2 linked regions of the Neodiprion lecontei genome follow. The protein of the gene in region 1 interacts with the protein of each later gene in a pairwise test. Links are inferred from orthologs where the notes say so. Each region holds a gene or a part of one and is shown in the gene's direction. Other genes may lie near its edges.

Region 1 (11,756 bases):
CACAAAAGCATCATTTGTGCCGGTTACAGTGCTGTAATGCACATTCACTGCGCAGCGGAAGAAGTCAGTGTGAAAGCGCTCATATGTTTGGTGGACAAAAAATCTGGTGAGAAAAGTAAAACGCGACCGAGGTTCGTCAAACAAGATCAAGTGGCCATCATGAGAATTGAGTGTGCCGGAGTTATTTGCCTTGAACAGTTTAAACTGTTTCCCCAAATGGGTCGGTTCACTCTTAGGGACGAAAGTGAGTATATTATCCTTTTGCCTCATCCATAGCTCGTAAATATCATGATCAAAAGTACAAAACAGTGCGTTACTCTAATTATCGAACTTTAAATTTGTTTTACAAAACTCGCTCAATTTTCAACTAAATCGCAAAAAGCAAGTATATATCAGGAACATTATTGACGATTGCTTATTCATTCATTTTCAGACAAAACTATTGCTATTGGTAAGGTGCTGAAGGTGGTTGAGTAAGTTCTGTTTTACGTTGAATTTTATTGTGACTAAGGACATTATTATACCTACCATCGAACACATTGAAATCACACACAAACAATGTAAACACAAACTTTGAGAACCTATGATCTATCTGTATGCATTAAACATTAGATGATGAAACAATACGCACTCACGGTAAGTGTAATTTGGGATTGGGTGAACAGAGAGAGATATATGCGAATTATATATATTATATATATAAAGAATGATATATATGACAAACTAAAATAAAACGACTTTGATTACAAAAAGAAAAGAATAAAATAGATAATACAAAGAAATGTTTTTGAAAAAACAGCACCACCCCCTGCCCTAAAGGAGACGAAAAAAAAATCTTTTCAGGATTTCGTTGTCGTTGAAATATTTTAATGGCAAGGGGGTAGGGGAGGAGGGTATACAAAAAGGCTTTTTCAATATAAACTGAGGGCGATATTTTTGTTCTACGGAGCTATGTGAAAAATGATAATGGATAGCATTAACGCTAATTATGATTATTATTATTATTATTATCATTGAATTGATGGGTAATAGATGAAACATATTGAGTAAAGCAAATAGATAGTGTTCCACAACAATTTATAATTATTAAATCAATATTGTACTGTTTCTTATTTTATTCTCATTAAAATACTAATTTACTACGAAACTGTTTATTTGTAATAATTTTCACTGTATGTTCTGTACTTTGGAGCATCTTTATGTTCATTAGAAAGAGAAAAAAGAAAAAGAAAAAATAATACGTGAAAACTTTCTGTGATAGAACACAGGGAGAGTAAATTAATTTACATAGATTTTTTGAAGAATGTAGTCTATAAGAAGACAATTGATATGAATATCTTTTGATTTCTTTATAAAAAAAATATCAAACCAGCCACATTGTGCCCTAAAAATTGATTGCAGAAGTATTTATGACAATTATCAGATCACGGCTGAAGTTGTGACAATACCAGACAGGGATGAAAAATCAGTTTGTAAATCTAAAAAAGCATCGAATATTCCTATTCATGTGTAAGGTATATCGATAGAAAGAAGTTAGTTACTCTACTCTTGCTCTGATACAATACACTAAAATACTGGTTGTCATCTCGTCTTCCAAGAAAAAAAAAAAAGAAAGAAAGAAAAAAACACGAAGTCTGTAACGCTCATAAGTACAGAACTTTATAGTGTATTGAATATAATAATCGTTGACATTTTCGTTTTCCATTTTACTTCATATTTCGTACTTTTTTTTTTTTATAATCTATTTGCGAATTTTATTAAAGAGCTTGTCACCATCGGCACATACATAGCTAGGCGAATTCATGGAAACGTGATTTTTGTAGCTTCAGTGAAACAATCACACGGTGAAGAGAAGAATAATTGTAAAATATAAGAACCGGCAATGTCCGTATTGTTATTATTAAATATTATTATGGATTGAACTAATATTAATTATTAATATAAAAACTACCAATAATATAAACACAAACGAAGTATAAGGAGGTGAGCAAACTACAGAAGAATAATAGATATTAAGAGCCTTAGCTCATGCTGTAGTGTGGGATACATTGATATTTTTATATATTGCTGCGCCATCAATATTTACTTATTCAATCAAGTCAGCCGGTTTGGTTTTTACTGAAAAGGCTTGGCTTTTAACCATTTTAAAGCTATCTTTGCGAGGGCCTAAAATTATGAAAAACAGGGAAGAGTGCTGAAAACTTGATGAAAAAAATTAACACAATGAAGTTCTGTGAAATTTTAATATCAAAAAGTATTCAGTGTTTAGCGCTTAATTAGCAATATGAATTCTTCATCAATAGTTGGAAATTTACCAGACAATATGACGTGCTTTAGAAAGTTCTCATAACCGTAATTACGAATATTGTTTAAAAGAAATCGAGGGTTCTCCTCCAGCGAACCATTTTCATGCTGTTCTCAATTTCATTCAATACGATGTACAAATTGTTGTCCTTTGGTATAGGGGGAAATATAAAATGTAAAAATGTGTGATTCGTACAATCCTATTTGATGTATATCGAAGTAGGATAATTTTTTCTTGAGACATAGAGAAGTAGTTTCTACTCAAAGTATTGAAAACTATGAGAAAAACCTAGATAGCATAAGTACAAATAAATTATTTTTGAAATATGCAAAACGGTGTCATTGCTTTCAAAGATAGAAATAGAATTATTTTTTTAATAGTAAGGTCTGAAAGCCTGCAATCATAAAACTGCTTCATTTTTCTCACTGGTATTCAGCGCTCATCCTACTTATTACTTATACCTTATATAATAAAATTTGGAAAACTGTTCAAAATCATGTGGGAGAAAAGGAAAAATTTTCTTTTCAATTACGTGTTATTTAATGAATGATAGAATGGTACATAATAATATATTCAATCGATTTACGAGGATGCTACTCTTAATTGTGCACGATAATTATTCTTTTAACAGTAAAAATGCATGTAAAAGAATAAATTTCGTTCAAATTTTTGTGAAAGGAAGTCATTGCAGTCACAGAGCGAAGTTTATAAAGTATTGCCTAATAAAACACCGTGATGGAAGATTTGAAATCTTGTACATGGTTGTATATGGTTACATAGTTATATTAAACATGTACATAAACACGTGCGGACAGCGTCAAGTCTGTTTCGTGCCAATCGTCCAATAAATAATCAAGCGGTCCGTTTAATTTAGTTGCACTGTAAAGTTGAACGCCTCATTCATATCTTTACGGAGAAACGATTGATAAAGGACTAAACATAATTTCGCTATTATGCATGAGATGTGAAAAATCAACTATAGCCTTTAATACGAACTAAACCGGCTATTAGCTTCCTAATTATCATCTTGGATATGAATTTTGAAGAAATTATCATTTGCTCATGAGTATTTACATTGCAATTTAACTGTAACATATAAGTTGTCAAATCAATTCTTGAAAACAATCGATTTCGATTGTTATCAAACACCATGTCAAGAAATGATTGAATTCAAAGTAAATGAAATGAGTCTTAAAAAATATTTTAAAAAGTTAAATTTTAAGATATAGGTATAAAATTTCAAGAATAAAAGAACACGGAAATTAATGAGACACATGAAACAAGATTACTAGACGCGGGAAAGGTTGTTTCATCATTTTAAAATGAACTTGTATCGGTGATAGTAAATTTTGAAACTGTAGAAATGAAAATGCTTTAGAAACCGACGCCAAAATGGACGAGGATGGTTTTAAAGTAATATCAAGCACTGTATGCGATTTGATAATTCCCATAGCGACCAGATGTTTTTAAATTAAAATTACTATTTTGACGGTGACAACCTTGTACGTTTAATAATCTTGTATTAGCACTGTCTGCCTTTTTTTACGAATAAAAAAAATCTAATCAGACTTAAACCTTGTAGTGAGGTGAATGAAATGACTTATATTATTATAAAAATGTGCATAAATTGTTTATCAAATGCGCAGTGTTTCCTCATTGAAACAGCATAAATACGAAAATTTTGAAGACATTTTCATATTCCCAATAAATATTGTACATGGAGACAGCCTCTTTAATTCTAGAAATTTAATATCAAGCCCCTGTTATGTTGATTTTATCTTTTATATTCATAAATCATGTGATATGTGAAGTGTAATCATATTTATAGACCCCGCACTAGTTTCAACTAGTTTTCACTGCGTGTCGTTCTGACTCATTTAATATTAGCGCTCCTAATTCTGATCAACGATCTGATGTTACGGAAGAAAAAGATGAGTTTAAGTCGACGATATAAAATATTAGGTATGTAAGAAGTTGTTCGAATCAATAACTTGGTACAATGTAATGATAATCATTTCTTGACTCTTTGAGATTGTGTTTGAAATGAAAATGAATTTGCTAATGGCTTATATATTTATTTATATTTTATTCGGCTTTCGGTTGTATAAAAATTAGGTGATTCAATAACGGAATTCAATTTATTTGAATTATTTTCAAATGAAACTCTTTAAAAAATTGACATCATCAATTCGTTATTACGCTTGCTGGTGTGATGTCTAGACTATACATATGAGCTAATATCTGAACTACGGTTTACTGTAATATATGCAATTTCAATTGTCTCCTAATCTCTGGCCAAAGTATTTTAACATAGTACAGTATAAATGTGTAAAGTGGTTTTATAAACCCCAATTTTCTAAACAATTACCTTGTTAAATCTGTTTACCGATCTCTATCAATGTTTGAAATATCGGCTTTTCTTGCGCCAGAAAGTGATTCTATACAATTATGCCACTGAAACAAAAACAAATACTCCGCAACAATTGCCAAGTGATCTTGCAGTATTTTTTAATTCGTCAATTAGTGATTTGGTCAACATAATTCACGAGTAACATGGGCGAATGATTCAAATTTTTATACAAAAATTATTCCGTCATACCGACGTTTTGCCTAGTGATTTTGCCGCGGCAATTGTTCATCATGAGTAGTCCTGAGTCATAATTCCAATGTTACCAACATAACTCGACTCGAGACTCAATTGAAAAAAGTCCCTAACTAGCATAAACATGGCCTCCCGAGGCAGTCTCGGTGTTCTGAGAGTTTTAGCCAAATTAGAAGCGTCTGTCAACTCCGGAAACTATTATGAAGCACATCAGATGTACAGGACTTTGCACTTTAGGTAAGCCGACAATTATTCATATAGTTTATATATTCTAACCACTTTCAAGTGCTACGTAATTGCAACTTAACCTCTCTTTAGGTACCTTGGACAAAGAAAGTATTCGGAATTACTGGAATTACTGTACAATGGATCAACGTTACTCCTACAACATGATCAGGTACTAATTTATCTACTTTAATGTATTTGCATCAATACAAAGTGCCTTCCAAATTTTAACATTTGCATATGCATGTATGTTGAATGTTCATTGGAGCATTCAGTGATTAGTCACAAGTGGTAGAAGTCTTGCCATCTCTTGCATTGGATTTCCAAATGTTACCAAAGTTATGAAGTAGCATTGCTGTAGCAGATATGCAAAATAAATGCTTGAATGATTTTCACATTTATTCTGCAATTCCCATATATTTAATCTACGACAGGCATGCATTACATATTTAAGAACATGAGCAACACTGATTGTTTAATTTTTCTTTCAGCAAGCAAGTGGCGCTGATCTTGGAACATTATTTGTCGATGCTCTAGTCAAGTCAGAAACTGAGCCTTCGCAAGTATATTTCGAAAAACTGACGAATTTATTCAGCTTGATGAACCCTACAGCACCAGAAAGGGAAACGTTTCTTTTAGAAGCGCTAAGGTGGAGCTTAAAGGGGTCCGATTATAAAACGGGTCACCCTGATTTTCATCAGCGAATAGCACAAGTATTCTGGAAAGGTATACTCAAGTGATAAGAATCAGATCTGTGTATTAAATATTTCTTTCATAACAGATAGACAGATTCATTGAAATTGTACATTGTGAAACTATACCGCTACTTCATTGTGCATAGAAGCTCTCGCAGTCAATCTCTCATATCATATTTATATCTTTTTAAATACAGAGAAAAACTACATAATGGCCAGGCAACACTTTTTATATAGTAGTGATGGATCTGGTTGTGCTGCGATGCTTGTTGAACTTCACGAAGAGCGTGGATACTCGAGTGAAATAGATCTTTTCATTGTGCAAGCCGTCTTACAGTAAGTCATTGAGTGAAATTATACTTCATACAAGAGTTTTGTAAAAGATACCCGAATTGTTTGCTCACATGTACATTATAAAATAGTAAAAGAATTGTTACGCTCTTATTATATTGTACTTCATTGATTTCCAGGTACTTATGTTTGAGAAATAAAACCACAGCAGAAGAAGCGTTTCATTCATATACTTTGAAACACCCAAAAATAAATAGTGGTCCACCGTACTTTCTGCCGTTGTTGAATTTTTTATTCTTCTTACTGAAAACCATTGAAACGTAAGTTTTGCTGACATGTTATATTAATAAATTAGCAATATAGTTAATCATACACTAACATGATACATTCCTCATCACAATAATCCAGCAATATCGTAACAATTGTATTGGATATTCTTGCCTTTGAAATACTTGGTCTCATTTTAAATTTACAAATTTCACTTGCTGTCTTTCAAGATATTATGAGAATTTTTGATTGTTAATGCTATGAATGACTATAGGCAGTTAAAAGATTTCAACATATTCACCAGAAATCAAAAACATTTTAACTTTTTAAAATTTTTGTAAATACAGTGGTAAGCTGGCCGCTTTCACAGTTTTGTGTGAGCAGTACCAGTTAAGCCTGAACAGAGACCCGCTCTATAGACAATACTTGGATAAAATAGGTCAAGTGTTCTTTAATGTATCACCGCCACGGGCACCAAGTCAAGGATTATTTGGTTCACTGTTACAATCGTTTTTCAACGGTCTGGAAGAAGAAGATTCAGACGATGATCAGCGAAATGCTCCTACGACATCGCACGTGGCACAAGAATTAGACTAATTGGAAAGGGAATGTTTTTAAGCTTTGTATGAGATGAACTAAAAGAGCTTACAGAGATTTGAGATGCCATAAGGGTCTGCTGAAGTGGGTATACATACATATACATATTAAATCTAGCGTAATGTAGCAGTTTATTGTTCTCATTTTTAGCATTCTTCATCCATTCAAATACTTATATATATTAGGGTGGTCCTTGTTTGGAAGTCGATAAAAGTTTTGCTGCAACGCTCCGCAGACCTGTTCACAATCATTTTAAAAAAATCTGTAAATTTTCAAGCCACTGCAACTAAAACAACTTAAAAATTAAGAAAGGATACGTTTTTTTTTACCTGAATGGGAAAACCCAAACTCGCAGAGGCACGTGTATCAGTGATGTAACGGCTTGAAACTACACAAATTTTTTATATGATTTGGAACAGGTCTGGGGGGCATTGCAATGAAAATATTTCAGACCCCCAAATAAGAACCCACTCTAAGATATATAAATATATAATAATATACATAGGTACATATTGATGAACATTCGAAGGGTTGTAAAATGCTTACATTTAGAGATTTATTTATATCTGAATATGCATTCTTACGTATTCATCATTGTACCTATATGGATTGTAGAAGCAGTGTACAGAATTTTATTTATTTTTGCGTAAATTTCAATTCTTCAAAATAATAATATATATAAAAAACATAAATTCATGGTCGATGCCCATTCAGTTTGTATGACTTTATTTTACTTTATTTTTCGCCGTTTACGTTTCTAATAATCTATTGACAAACATGTGAGATTTTTAGGTTTTTTTTTATACTAAACAGTGTGCTAACAAATTAGCTTATAAATACGCGAAACTAAGCGATTTAAAATGAGATAGTTATTCTAAAACTCGATATTCCACATTCAGGAGGCAAAGCATATAATATCTAATGTGCCCTTTTTGAAATCTGGCTCTAAAGAAAACTTATAGTAATAACCGTGTACATTTTGGAAGTGATACGATCGGTTTAAAGTGTTATTTTGTATACTCTGAATAATGTGAGAAATAAAAGGAAAAAATATTTAGCATAATAATTTTTTCTTAAAAATATAAACTGCACTAATACCACATGTGATTAGTTAAAGTGAAGACACGTGACAAAGCTGAATAATATTCATCTACTAACGAATAATGTAAAGAAACGTCAAAATCAAAGTACAAGGCTAGTTCACACATCCGACGTCAGAATATTGACTATTTTAGACATTGTATATTATTATCAATTTTAGTAAGCTGTAAGATGTCAAACTATGAGTCAACTTAAATAATGTACAAAAGTAATAATTATTGCAGTACATACCTTTCAATGGCAAATTTTTTTCATCTCGTCTCTTATTCAATATAGCATGTAATTTTATGAATACTTGACTGGTATTGTGTATATAGATTTTTATTAGTGCGAACAAGGTCCACTTTACTTGTTCGACTTTTTCGATTTACTTCCAATCTTTTACTTCATGAAAATAATTAGTCTTTTTTCTGATCTATCGATTGCTGATGCTGTTTCTGTCATATGATAGGATTTAAAATTATATTAATTTACGCATTGAAACGAATCCGATATTTACGAGTTTGTATTAACTTCTGGTTTATCGAAATATTAACAATTTTAGGGCGCAGTAGAAGAATGCTTAAAAAAGCATCTATGTAATTTGTAAAACAAATTTTAGATAACACATCATTTGAGCAATCAATGTACAGGCTGAGAATCTTTCCAAAGTAAGTTAAAACAGTGTTAAGAGATACGAGCAAATATATTTTACAGTAGTATAGCGTGTAGCAAAAGCTCAATTACGCAACAGTTAATATTTAGTATGAAATACTATAATGCTTTATTACGTGAATTAAAATTAATCTCCGACAGTGGCATAATAATCTATTTAATTGAGGAAAAACAAATTCTAGATCCTTAACATATTAAAAATAAAAATACAAAATGATAATCCACTATCTTTTCACATACAGAATTCGTTATTAACCTTAAAAAACTGTAAAATACTAACAGGTGGTTTTTATTTGTGTATTTTATTTTTCAGTATAAAAAATATAAACATGAGACTTTTATCGAGGATTTTTAGCTCGGATATTAAATACTTTTTATCTCGTAAGCCATTTACATGCAATTTCAATAAAAACAATTCCTTCTTCGCAATCCTTTACAATTTTAATGCATACATAAGTTTTAACTATAAAATATTAACTCTTAAATGTTATTCCAAAAAAAAAAAAAACTAGTCCTACATGATAGATACAGAAGGTAAATAACGTTAATTTCTTATAAAATAATTGGTGATATTATAATTGTAGGTAACGTTACTGCACAGGTTTGGGAAATGATTTTGATTTTTATACAAAGAAATAAAAATATAATTTAGACCACTATTGTATGTATAGGAAAACTACGGAATTATATCTATCAAAGCAAACCTCGATTTTTTTAAAAGTAGCTCACTGCTTGATTGTAAGTCTTTCTAGTATGATTGAGCGGGAGTTACAATATGGAAAAATTTTTATGTACGTTATATTGAACATGACTCAATATTAAAATTATGAGACGTAGATCTATATTCCAACCTGCTCTTTTCTCAAACGAAAATATTTTCCAATTATATTATCATTTAGTATTAATCATTGTAAATGATATATCTTACCAGGAACCAATTTGATATCCCCCTTCGAATTTGATGCAACTCGTGTATGTTGTAGAACATTGAAAACTAAAACACACCTTTGTTTTATCAGCGGAAAAACGGTTTGAAGGGATGAAAACGATCCCCAAAGATGGAAACCCAACATGGTAATTTCTTGATGTACACGATGTGTTTGAATGAAACCAATGCTGAAATGTTCCTATTCATGAATGAAACCTTTTTTAATGTTCTACAAATATACATGAGTTGTAACTAAATCGGAGGCGGACACCGAACTGATCTTTCTTGTTAGTAGAAATCTATCTAGCTGTATCTCTTTTGGATACACATGTTTAATACTCTTTCAGACCTGGCATGGGGAATTGTGAGGCAAATTTTTCTACTTCTGTACGAAGTGCTTGGACCTTTACCTTTATTGCCACATCAGTATCTAATACCCTTTTAAATTCCGGGAGCTTAAGTCCAGATATAGCCGTGACTTCTTTAGCCAGTTCTATACCTGAAAATGGGAAATAGTATTAACAGCCTGTGAGTCGATATTGTCAAAGCTGGAGCATAACTTTGAACGCTTCGCCAAGCTAACTCAAATTCAAACGTAAGTGATAGTGAAACTGATAGAACTTACCTGAATGAATGAAATTAACAGCTTTATCAATTTCAGCTTCCTTGAAACCCCTAGTAGTCAAAGCCGGTGTTCCAAGCCTGATACCGTTTGGATTCAATGCACTTTTATCCCCAGGAACTGTATTTTTGTTGCATGCGATTCCAATATCTTCTAGTATCCTCTCAGCTTTGGCTCCGCTGATACCAGTGGAACTCAGATCAACTAAGATGAGATGCACGTCGGTGCCACCACTGCTAATTTTGTAACCAAGTTTTTGAAGACTGTCCGAGAGTCTTTTTGCATTAGCTAATACTTGTTTTTGATAAGCAATGAACTCGGGAGACTTAGCCTGTTTCATTGTTGTGGCAATGGCAGCAATTTGATGATTATGTGGGCCACCTTGCAGGCCGGGAAACACAGCCTGATTTATTCTGGTCTCCAGATCATACAAAATCTTTTCACCCTTCTTATTTGTACTTCTAACGCCTTTCCGGAAGAAAATTACACCGGCACGTGGCCCTCTGTAATTAAATAAACATTATATCTGACTGTCTGATTTATACAAATGTTAAAATTTGTTTACAACAATTTAATTGCTGTACCTGAGCGTCTTATGAGTTGTAGTAGAAACAACATCGCTGTATTCAAACGGGCTAGGAATAACACCTGCAGCAACAAGCCCAGAAATATGCGACATATCGCTGAAGAGATACGCTCCATGTTGATCAGCAATTTCCCTAAAACGTTTATAGTCCAAACACCTGCTATAGCACGATATACCGGCTATAATTATCTTTGGCTTGAACAATCTTGCAGTCTCTTCAAGTTTATCGTAGTCTATGTATCCTGTTTCAGGATTCACCTTGTAAGGCATCGACTCAAAGAATATCGATGTTGCAGAGATTTTCTTGGTTTCGGTGAAAAATCCTATGAAACATTGAAGGTAGATTTATAAATAAAATGGTAATGTAAAATTTTTCTTTATAACAGAAAATTACTGCTCCTCATAAATACGTTTAAGGAATTTTTGTTAACCATGTGTTAGATGCCCTCCGTCGGGGAGATCTAGACCCATTATACGCCCATGGGGTTCAACCAGACCAGTGTAGACAGCAAAATTGGCCGGACTGCCGGAGTACGGTTGAACATTGCATCCCCATTCTTCTGGATTTAGATTGTAAGCTTCTAAGGCACGTTTTTGAGCAAGTAATTCAATTTGATCAATGAATTCGTTTCCACCGTAATATCTGAAAAAGTGAAAAATTATTAGTGTACAATTGAAGAAAATAAAATTATGTTCTAACGATTTCACATAGTTCCAGGTACAAAAGAGGAGAATTTGGAAGTCAAATTAATTTATTCACCTCTGTCCCGGAAGACCTTCGCTGTATTTATTTCCTAGGCAAGATCCGAGGCATTGGAGTACGCTAAGAGAGGTAAAATTTTCACTCGCAATCATTTCCAGCCCACACTCTTGTCGCTTTTTC
Region 2 (9,236 bases), on another chromosome or scaffold:
ATAATAATTCCCCAATATTGTGAACAATCAAGCTTCTTACCAACATAGAAAATTGATTTTTCGACTCCTTCTCTGAATTCAATGTCTAAAAGTTTTTCAAGGAATTGCTTATCTCTAACAGTGTATTCCAAGTCTTTGAAACAGTGATCTATAAATTGGGTCAGGAATTGTTTCATCTTCTGATATGTTTGAATGTTTCTTTCCAAATTTGACGTTGAAATTATGTCACTTCTAAGAAATCTGCTCTCTTCCTGCAACAGAGAATATACAATGTTCTCTTTATATTAGAATTCTCCTCGAAGATTGCGATAAAACAAAATTAAAAGAAAAACAAAATTATAACATTCTGAATCCTTTATAACTCCTACCAATTTGATTGGGTTCATGATTTTATCATAAAAGTTTCTGAAAGTTGCTGACACTGATATTACAAAGCTTTGCTCTGTAGTACCGGGTAGAAGTCCTCTGTGTGCGCACAAATTTTCTTCTTCTTGTTTTAGGTCGCTGATCAAAGTAGCTAGATCAGTATCTGCAAATCCGTGGACTGATCTGAAAGTTGAATACTTTATGAAAAGTTCAGTTGCTAAATCAGAAAAATAAGTTCTAACCATCAACTTTGTATTCACACAAGTATGAATTTTGTAACAAATTGATGAACCATACCTTCCATGAATATAATATCCGTAATGGTTCTGAGAAAGAATAAATATACTGATATTTGCCATTGAACATAAGTCAATGAATTCTTTGATATGATTCTTGACGTATCTGTTATAAAATATAACCATTGTCAGCCATTGTACAAGGTATACAAACATATATACTAAGGTACCAACAGCAAATTTTAGCGTAAAGCTTTCTCTTTCCTGCAAAGTTGACTCTACAGCACGAATGCTAAGTTCTGGATCTGAACGTGCCCAGAATTTAACATTAACAACCTGTGGGAATAAAATGTTGTACATAATTTATTTAACAATTCGTGCAACAATTTTTACCAAAAAGCTCATATAAATTTTACTGACCTCTAAAATGAACAGTGTTGCAATGCCTTGTACAAGCATATTTACTTTTCTGATTGTTTGAATTTTGTACCATTCATTAGCGATGAAATAAGTTCGCCAAATACTAACTGGCAATTTTTTTTGATCGGTACGATCAGCAGTATCTCCCATAGAGAAAATATCTCCACCTGATTGATTGGGGAGATTCGAATCGTTTAAATCACTCTGAATCGAGAGTCTTGATCGCCTGCTCGGGGTATTAATGCTACTCAATTTGTGCGGTGTTTTGTTTCTACTAGCTGATATTATTTCTGATGGTGTTTTTGGTGAGCTACGTTTTTCACCAGAGAATCTATTAGCGTACAATTTCTTTAGAGATGTACGAGGTGAATCGTACTTTGGTTGGCTTTGAACAGACCTCGGTTGTTCCCAATCAATGAAAAACATGTCAATGTTTCTAATCTGATAGACGAGTCCCATTATCTCAACAAGCTGCAAACATAATTGGTGCAGTAACCTTTCAAAATTGTCAGACAGATTTGTAAAGAATGAAAATATATCATTATTCACTTTTAAAGAGAATGCAACGATCACGAATATTCTGACAGTCTCCTCGTTGGCCTCGCTCGGTAATAAAACATGCATCACGGTCTGCCCTTTAAAAAAGATGAACATGTAAGCACTGGCGCAGAAAACTACGAATATAAATACGTTTCCTAGTAAACCGCAGCAAAATATAAAAAACCAGAAAAACGTGGAGGTATTTGGAACTTCACTGCCATTTCGTTTACAATGGCTCCATGCCTTGATTGCGGCAAAAGCAACTGCTAAACTCGACAAAACGCCTGTAGACACCTGAAATGCATAAAAATTTGATCAGAAGAATGAATGATGTGCTCGAGTGATTAATTAAAGATTATTTTAGGCAAACAAAATTGTGCGTTCGTTATTACTTGAAAATAAACTTGTTTACCTCTATGGCATTGTACATGTCGTTATCTGCCAATATGTAAGTGATTTTATAGCTAATTTGCACCTCAACGTTTTGACGCACATGTTCGTTTAGCAATTCACCATATTCTATCATAAGTAACGGTGGGAATATTTTTCCCTTCTCTTCTTTATTCTGCACTTTGATTCTGAATGATTGAAAAAAATTACTCAGTATATGACAGTAAATTTTTGCAACACAGCACACACATTTTCAAAAAACGAGGCAATACTCACAAAATATTAATAGATTTAGCATATCTCACAACAGTTGGATATTCTTCTCTCTTAAAAGCAGTGCCTAACGACGTTGGCAAGGCTTTAATGCCAGCTATAGTATCAGTAAAGAAAAATCTCCTTACCAGTTGCCATCGAGAAGCATCAATTTCATCCTAAACAGTGCCGCAAAGATGAAGAAGAGACTTGGGCATTTTTTGCTGCCTTTATCCTTAATTATGAAAAATGTCTTAACCATCTCACCTTATTTGTATTTCTTATCAGAACCGGCAGTGCGTATAAAATCATTTTGTCGCCCTCTCTGTATCCAAGATATGGTTCAAAAAACTCCATTCTTATATCATTGAGTATTTTGGCAGTTGTTGCACACGACTTTTCAATATTAATACCAAATCTGATATTTTTGAACAAGTCGCAGATTAAAGTTGGTGCTGAGATCGATTGATATTGTCCATTCATTGAAAATGTGGCAAATGTAATATTCAACCTGCTACTCTGTGGTGAAATAAAAAAAAGTCATTAACGACATAGTGCCAACAAATGAGTTTTTTTTCATACAATTTCGTTTCATTCTCTACGTACATTACTCTCTACATCCAGACTATACTGCTGTGAAATTTTTTTACGATTGAGAACTGTTGGGGCTTCACCTTCTCCATAGTACAGCCATAAAGGAGAGTTATGTTTATCCCAAAATAATTTACATGGTATCAAAGATGTAAATAAAGTCAGGGTGCACATATTTGCCATATGCTCGCAAGCTGTTTTGTTTCCATTCTGAAAACAAATACAAAATTCTAGTGTGATGAATTTCAATAATTATTACAAATGAAGTTATTTATGCACCGCTGGTTCAATTTTAAATTGTTCATCTTTCGAATCTTTGGGAGAATCTTCACTCCATGCTATTGTGTGAATTTTTTCGCATTCCTCCGAGAAAGCAATACCAAGAATACCGATCAGTGAATACTTACTTTACACAGGTAAACGGCTAGTTGTAGCTCATTTCTAAAGTAATAACTGTCGATATGTTGGCTTTCGTATTTGACTAAGTACGTACTTCTCACATCAGGCCATTCCATTATCCCATTTTTCTTAATACAGTACTCTTTGATTTTCAAATGTGAAACTAATGGGCAGGGGCAATTGATGTGACTCCTGAATGATTTTTTTCTACACGGTATGCAACTCGTTCCATCTGGCGATGGATAGGAGTTCTCTGGACATGGAATGCATCTTACGTTATTCAAAAGAGTCCCATTAATGTCTCGTTCCACTAAAAATATCGACGTAATTTTATGTTCTCAATATTCAGTTGTTCTTTATACTATACACAAAGAGGTAAAACAGTTTCTCACATCTGACTTCAGTCAGCGAACATTCGCAGCTACTATTAGTACTAGCATCAGAACATGGAACGCAGTCCAGTCCGTCAATTGTGGGAATCCTGTCAGGGCCACACGGCTCACAGGTCGGATTACCATTTTCAAAATTGACAAACCTACTTTGTTTATTGCAAACACAATCAAGTCCTGTAATGGTGAATTCAAAATTTTACAACTTTTTTCAGATTCATTTATTAACTGTATTTTATACAATGAATGAGACAGGTCGAAAGTATAAGTTGGAAAAAGTTTACACATCATTTTAATTTATTGAAAGTACAAATAATTGATAGTATATAATAAAACAAAAATGAAGAAATTACACCATGCTCCCTAAAATATCAATAAATTAGGCAATAAATTAAACTTGCGGTCTTTGGAGGGTTCGAGGTTCTTCGTCGTGTCACAAGCTGTGCAAATTAATGATCCAACGTTGAAATATTCCCCTCTTTTGCACATACTAGGAGTAACGTATTGAAACAACTCCCCGTTCGGATACGTGTTTACTTGGAAAATATTTTCTAAAATAACGGAGAAAAATAAATAACGAACAAACGGATCGTGTATGAAAAACATTTTTAAACCATTCGATATGCGGGTGCGTTATGTATTGTATTGTTTACAGTCTTATACCTACCGCCCGTTTCCATGGCAACTCAGGGGATATTCGGAGAGACAAACCTGCAGGCGCGATGACGCATTTGATTTGATGAAAAAAAAAAATGCCGTGCTAAAATCGCATTCTACTTTTTAAAAAATTCACAATGTTAACATTTTGTAACTTAGACGCGTAATTTTAGTTCACGATTCAATTTGTGTTTGCAAGTGTCGCGGTTGAAACCGCATTTATTTTGATGAATATACCTGAATGATATTATAATACCTAGCTGTGTTATGTCGAATTTCGCTCAAAGTCCAGAGATGGGTCGAGTTCACAACGAACTTTAATCGTACTGTAGTGGAGGTAGATTTAGATGTATTTTCAATTTTATGATTTCAAAATGTGGAGCGAGTTTTTGGCTATCCGAGTAAAAGTCGAAATGCATTATTTTTCTTTTATTTAGTTCCAGTACAGTGTCTCAAGGAACTCAATTCGCAATCGGGACGGTCATTTTAGCCAGGGATGAATTGTAAAATATAGCGGAATTAGCTTTCGGTCAATGAATCTCACGGCTTCGTAACTCATAAAATGGAATGATACCGTCATTGTACAATGGCTAATAAGGTTTCATTCTTCAATAAAACTTGTTTGACATGAATTCAAACGCAATACAGGATTCGTAAAAGCATAGATATATTGATTGCATCATTGTTTGAGCATCTGTGTTTATCACTGTAACAGTTGAGCACAAGTTGGGAACAACTGTCATTAGCATCAGCTGTGAAAGATTGGCGCAGAGCGTGACGCTTGAGCGCAAGCAGCGAAACTGCGAAATTAGTTTGTCGTGACGGGTGACATTTCGATTTTTGAGTTAATCAGAGATTGAAAAATATGGCTGCGAATGTCGAATTTGAGCCGCTGGAAGCGTCCGTGCGAAACGTGATTGATCAACGATCGTTGAGATGGATATTCGTCGGCGGAAAAGGAGGCGTTGGGAAAACAACATGCAGGTGATGTGTACATAACCTATACATGAGGGAGAAAATATCGTAGGAAAATAGTTGTCCGGTTAAAATGACATTCATAAACCGATAATTGTATCTCTAATTCTTTTTTCAATACAGCTGCTCCTTGGCCATTCAACTAGCTAAAGTTCGCGAGAACGTCTTGATCATTTCCACAGATCCTGCGCACAACATCTCAGATGCGTTTGATCAGAAATTCAGCAAAGTACCCACTAAAGTAAAAGGATTTGATAATCTATTTGCCATGGAAATTGACCCCAATGTTGGTATCACAGAACTGCCTGAAGAATATTTTGAAGGCGAAGCCGGTTAGTCAATATCGGAATTATTTTGAAAATGGAATATATTCAACTGAATTTACCTTCTCAACAATTTTTAGGAGTCATAGGAGGAGAAGCGATACGTTTGAGCAGAAGCGTGATGCAGGAGATAGTCGGCGCCTTTCCTGGAATAGATGAAGCTATGAGCTACGCCGAAGTAATGAAGTGAGTAAACTTTTTTAACTCCAAGTCTCAAAATATGTCGAAGTAATTATTGTAGAAAGTCAAATGTTTTCTACACAATCGACAAATCGTGTATGGTGACAAGAAATCATTGCTTTAATTTTGTTCATACCTTTTTCAGGCTTGTGAAAGCAATGAACTTTTCGGTTGTTGTATTTGATACGGCGCCAACCGGTCACACTCTGAGGTTGTTGTCCTTTCCACAAGTTGTAGAGAAGGGTTTAGGAAAATTAATGAGACTGAAAATGAAAATCAGTCCCTTCATATCTCAGGTATGTGCAATAGAAATCAATTATCGTGTTCAATCATACAGCTAAACAGATCATCTTAATAAAATGGACTTAACTTTTTACAGATAGGTTCATTGTTGGGTATGTCGGATATCAACGTCGATACATTTTCAAATAAAATGGAAGAAATGCTGGCAGTGATTCGTCAAGTGAACGACCAATTCCGGGACCCAGAACAAACAACTTTCATCTGTGTTTGTATAGCCGAATTTTTGTCCCTCTATGAAACGGAAAGACTAGTTCAAGAGTTAACAAAATGCGGCATTGACACTCACAACGTTATTGTAAACCAATTGTTATTCCTAAAAGAAGGCGATGTGCCTTGCAGACTCTGCCAAGCCAGGCACAAAATTCAGGATAAGCATTTAGATCAGGTAATTCGTTGACCTCTCGTCGTATCATTTTTCCAATTTATAATTTCTATAGCGTATAATTGGAAAAATTCGTTTCAATATTTTTTCATACTTTTAACTACTTTGATCTAACTACTCTCGTCGATTCAAAGATTACAGATTTGTACGAGGACTTCCACGTGACGAAACTGCCATTGCTGGAACGCGAAGTTCGCGGAGTTCAGCATATAAAAGAATTTTCCGAGAACTTGGTGAAACCGTACAAGCCATAACATTAACATTTTTAAAAATTCATTATATTTTCCTCTACAGCCAACTGTAAAATAAAGATTACTGAAAAAATATTCTATATTGAATGCATTTAATATCTATTGGCCGTAGTCCTTGTACTATGTACTATCAGGTTTTCCACCAGTGTCATGGAGTAACAGATACCCTAATTTAAAAATTGATCTTTTAATACAAACGTGTAACAATACCTTACATGTTTATGTATAAGGTGCATAAGTATGGCTGTAACTTGACCTCGTCTGAAGAATATTAAAAACGGCAACCATAATGCGGTTTTGTGTGCCTAATGGCACGGAGTAATTGACGGCTCCTTTCGGTAAAGAAGCTACCTGATCGCCAAATTACCCATTGAGTACTTTGCACGAAAATATGCCCAGGGGTACGAATTTGGCAATAATAATTCTGCGCGAAAAATGTCTCGTACACATTGCTTGTACCGTTGACTGAAGATTATCCTCAGTCAACGCTCGTACGTGTTGTAAAAATGTTTCTTTTTTCGTTAAAAACAGTACCCCAGTGATTAATCGAACACTTTTTCATACGGTTCGTTTTTGAAGTAATAAATGTATTCGTAAATCACGTCGTCAAAAACAAGTTTCATCAATCAATTCTCACATTGTAAAGTAGTCAAAGTTGAAAATCCGCGCCAAGGACTAGCGAGTCCCGGCAAAGCATGACCGTTAATGTTGCGTCGTCTGTTGGTTGTTATCGTTGATACGAAAACGAAGCGACCTGTCAAATATCCGTTCTAATCATGGAATTGTTGAGTAAATCGAGTTTTTCTTAGTAAAATATGCGTCTCAAACTGGTTAAAATATTACTGGTGCTCGCGTTGGTTGGTAATATAGTCGTGTGGCATAGAATATGGAGATTATTCGCGGCTCCGAGCGTCTCTCTGACGGCGACGCCGGCCGCCTCGACGGTCGAAACATCCCAAAAGGTTCATCGAGGTTTAGCGCGGTCAGTGACGATTGTTATCCGTCAATTTGAAACATTCGAAAATGACGTCTCTGCCACGGTCGAGTCCGTGATGACCGCCTTTCCGTTAATTCCCATTTTGATAATATGCGACCAGCTTCCCTATCCGCCGCTGGAACTGGACTTCAAAAATAATACAATGCGATACGTGAAGCTAATCAATCTCCAACTCAATTTTAACAAGTCCTTCGACGAAAGGAATCCCCTCTTTTTCATCAGAACAAAATTCGTTCTATTCCTTCCCGATGCTACCAGATTGAGCACCAAACAAGTATTGCAGGTACGCTTCTCGAGTTGTTACTTACTTTACTAAACTCAGTAAGAAAAATCATCGAAGTGTGCGCAAACTTAGATGAGTGAACTTGAGTATAAACTTCTGTGATGTTTGTCTCATATTTTAATACTATTTATCACGTCCCATAAATTTTATTCCATTCATGATTTTATGATGTCCAACTGTTTCAACAGCTAATAATTTTTTACCTCTATTATGCGATGATTACATAAGTTGAACATTTTCACTGTTCCAGAGTATGATTATCCAGGCGTCAAAGTTGGGGGCTGTTTCGGTGCCAGTCGGTGCCAATCCTTTAAGTTGCATTGGGATGGCACTGCGAGTAAAAGAGTGGAGCCTAGAAATGTCGAATATCGACGGATCCACGTGTGATTCTATAATCGGACGTCACGGTACTATGATTGAAGCTAGAACGTTGAGGAAATTATCCGATCCATTCATTCTGCCATTCACAGATGCTTTCTACATCCAGACTACGGCGTTGGGAGCTAAGGTATGCGATTCTATGACTTTTACAATTATCAAACATGTTGAGTATTGTAATATTTAACCAACATTATTTTTTCTCTGATCACTAAAAGCGTAGGAAATTCTTTCCCACCTAGCATCTAGCGGTACTACATGTAGTTATGGATATTTACATAGACTGACGATTTCATTGCTTATACCGTAATAGCTGATGAAATTACTACGATAATAGTTGAATGCAAAATTGCCTGCAGTATCTTCCCTTACCAAATGTAATCTACATCACGCCCAATGTAATAATTATTTTTAGCCACGTACATCGTAATATAGTCGGAAATGTTGCGGTTTATTTTTAGTGTTACATCGATTTTTGTTATCTATTTGGACGCTACACATTCTCGGTATGTGCTTGTTATGCATGTATTTAGATTCAGAGCTTGCTTTCTGGTAAGTACAACCATTATATTATTTTAATTCACCTACGTAATATACATTATGTTCTGAATTGATGAAATTCTTATCACCAACACCAAAGAAATTTGGTATCGATATGGTGAGAATATATCGTTTGGTTTTCATCTAAACTTGATTCTTAACAGATAGATCTGTTCGTACTCTTTCAGAACAGGAACATGTGGAGCTTCTTACCTCTAGCAGGAGTAGCAGGTCACTTTTCTCACTTGTACTCTTTATTGGAGTAATTTGATTTAATGCCCTTGAGATTTTTTCGAAATCAATAAGATGAAAGGGGCCAGTTTGATGTGAGAAGCTTCACATGCTTCATGTATTGCACTGAAATTCTGGAATGTGCCTTCTTTT

Evidence for each region.
Region 2: the proteins of Golgi to ER traffic protein 4 homolog (region 1) and ATPase ASNA1 homolog interact in binary tests that used the Homo sapiens proteins (3 or more experiments, as listed by UniProt). The link is inferred for Neodiprion lecontei from reciprocal best matches to the Homo sapiens genes GET4 and GET3.

The regions. Positions count from the first base shown.
Region 1 is NC_060261.1:8,436,139-8,447,894, forward strand, and holds Golgi to ER traffic protein 4 homolog, read left to right. Parts: upstream 1-4,985; 5' UTR 4,986-5,031; coding exon 5,032-5,144; intron 5,145-5,225; coding exon 5,226-5,304; intron 5,305-5,623; coding exon 5,624-5,858; intron 5,859-6,024; coding exon 6,025-6,163; intron 6,164-6,297; coding exon 6,298-6,438; intron 6,439-6,732; coding exon 6,733-6,982; 3' UTR 6,983-9,230; downstream 9,231-11,756. Other genes in the region: eukaryotic peptide chain release factor GTP-binding subunit ERF3A, read left to right, coding at 1-244, 434-477; serine hydroxymethyltransferase, read right to left, coding at 9,998-10,164, 10,291-10,790, 10,872-11,196, 11,305-11,516, 11,634-11,756. UniProt on the Homo sapiens protein: As part of a cytosolic protein quality control complex, the BAG6/BAT3 complex, maintains misfolded and hydrophobic patches-containing proteins in a soluble state and participates in their proper delivery to the endoplasmic reticulum or alternatively can promote their sorting to the proteasome where they undergo degradation.
Region 2 is NC_060260.1:37,173,494-37,182,729, forward strand, and holds ATPase ASNA1 homolog, read left to right. Parts: upstream 1-4,979; 5' UTR 4,980-5,105; coding exon 5,106-5,224; intron 5,225-5,338; coding exon 5,339-5,547; intron 5,548-5,618; coding exon 5,619-5,724; intron 5,725-5,863; coding exon 5,864-6,014; intron 6,015-6,097; coding exon 6,098-6,406; intron 6,407-6,537; coding exon 6,538-6,657; 3' UTR 6,658-6,729; downstream 6,730-9,236. Other genes in the region: meckelin, read right to left, coding at 41-251, 369-549, 664-938, 1,023-1,493, 1,572-1,856, 1,975-2,140, 2,229-2,383, 2,472-2,723 and 2 more; fukutin-related protein, read left to right, coding at 7,470-7,934, 8,185-8,442.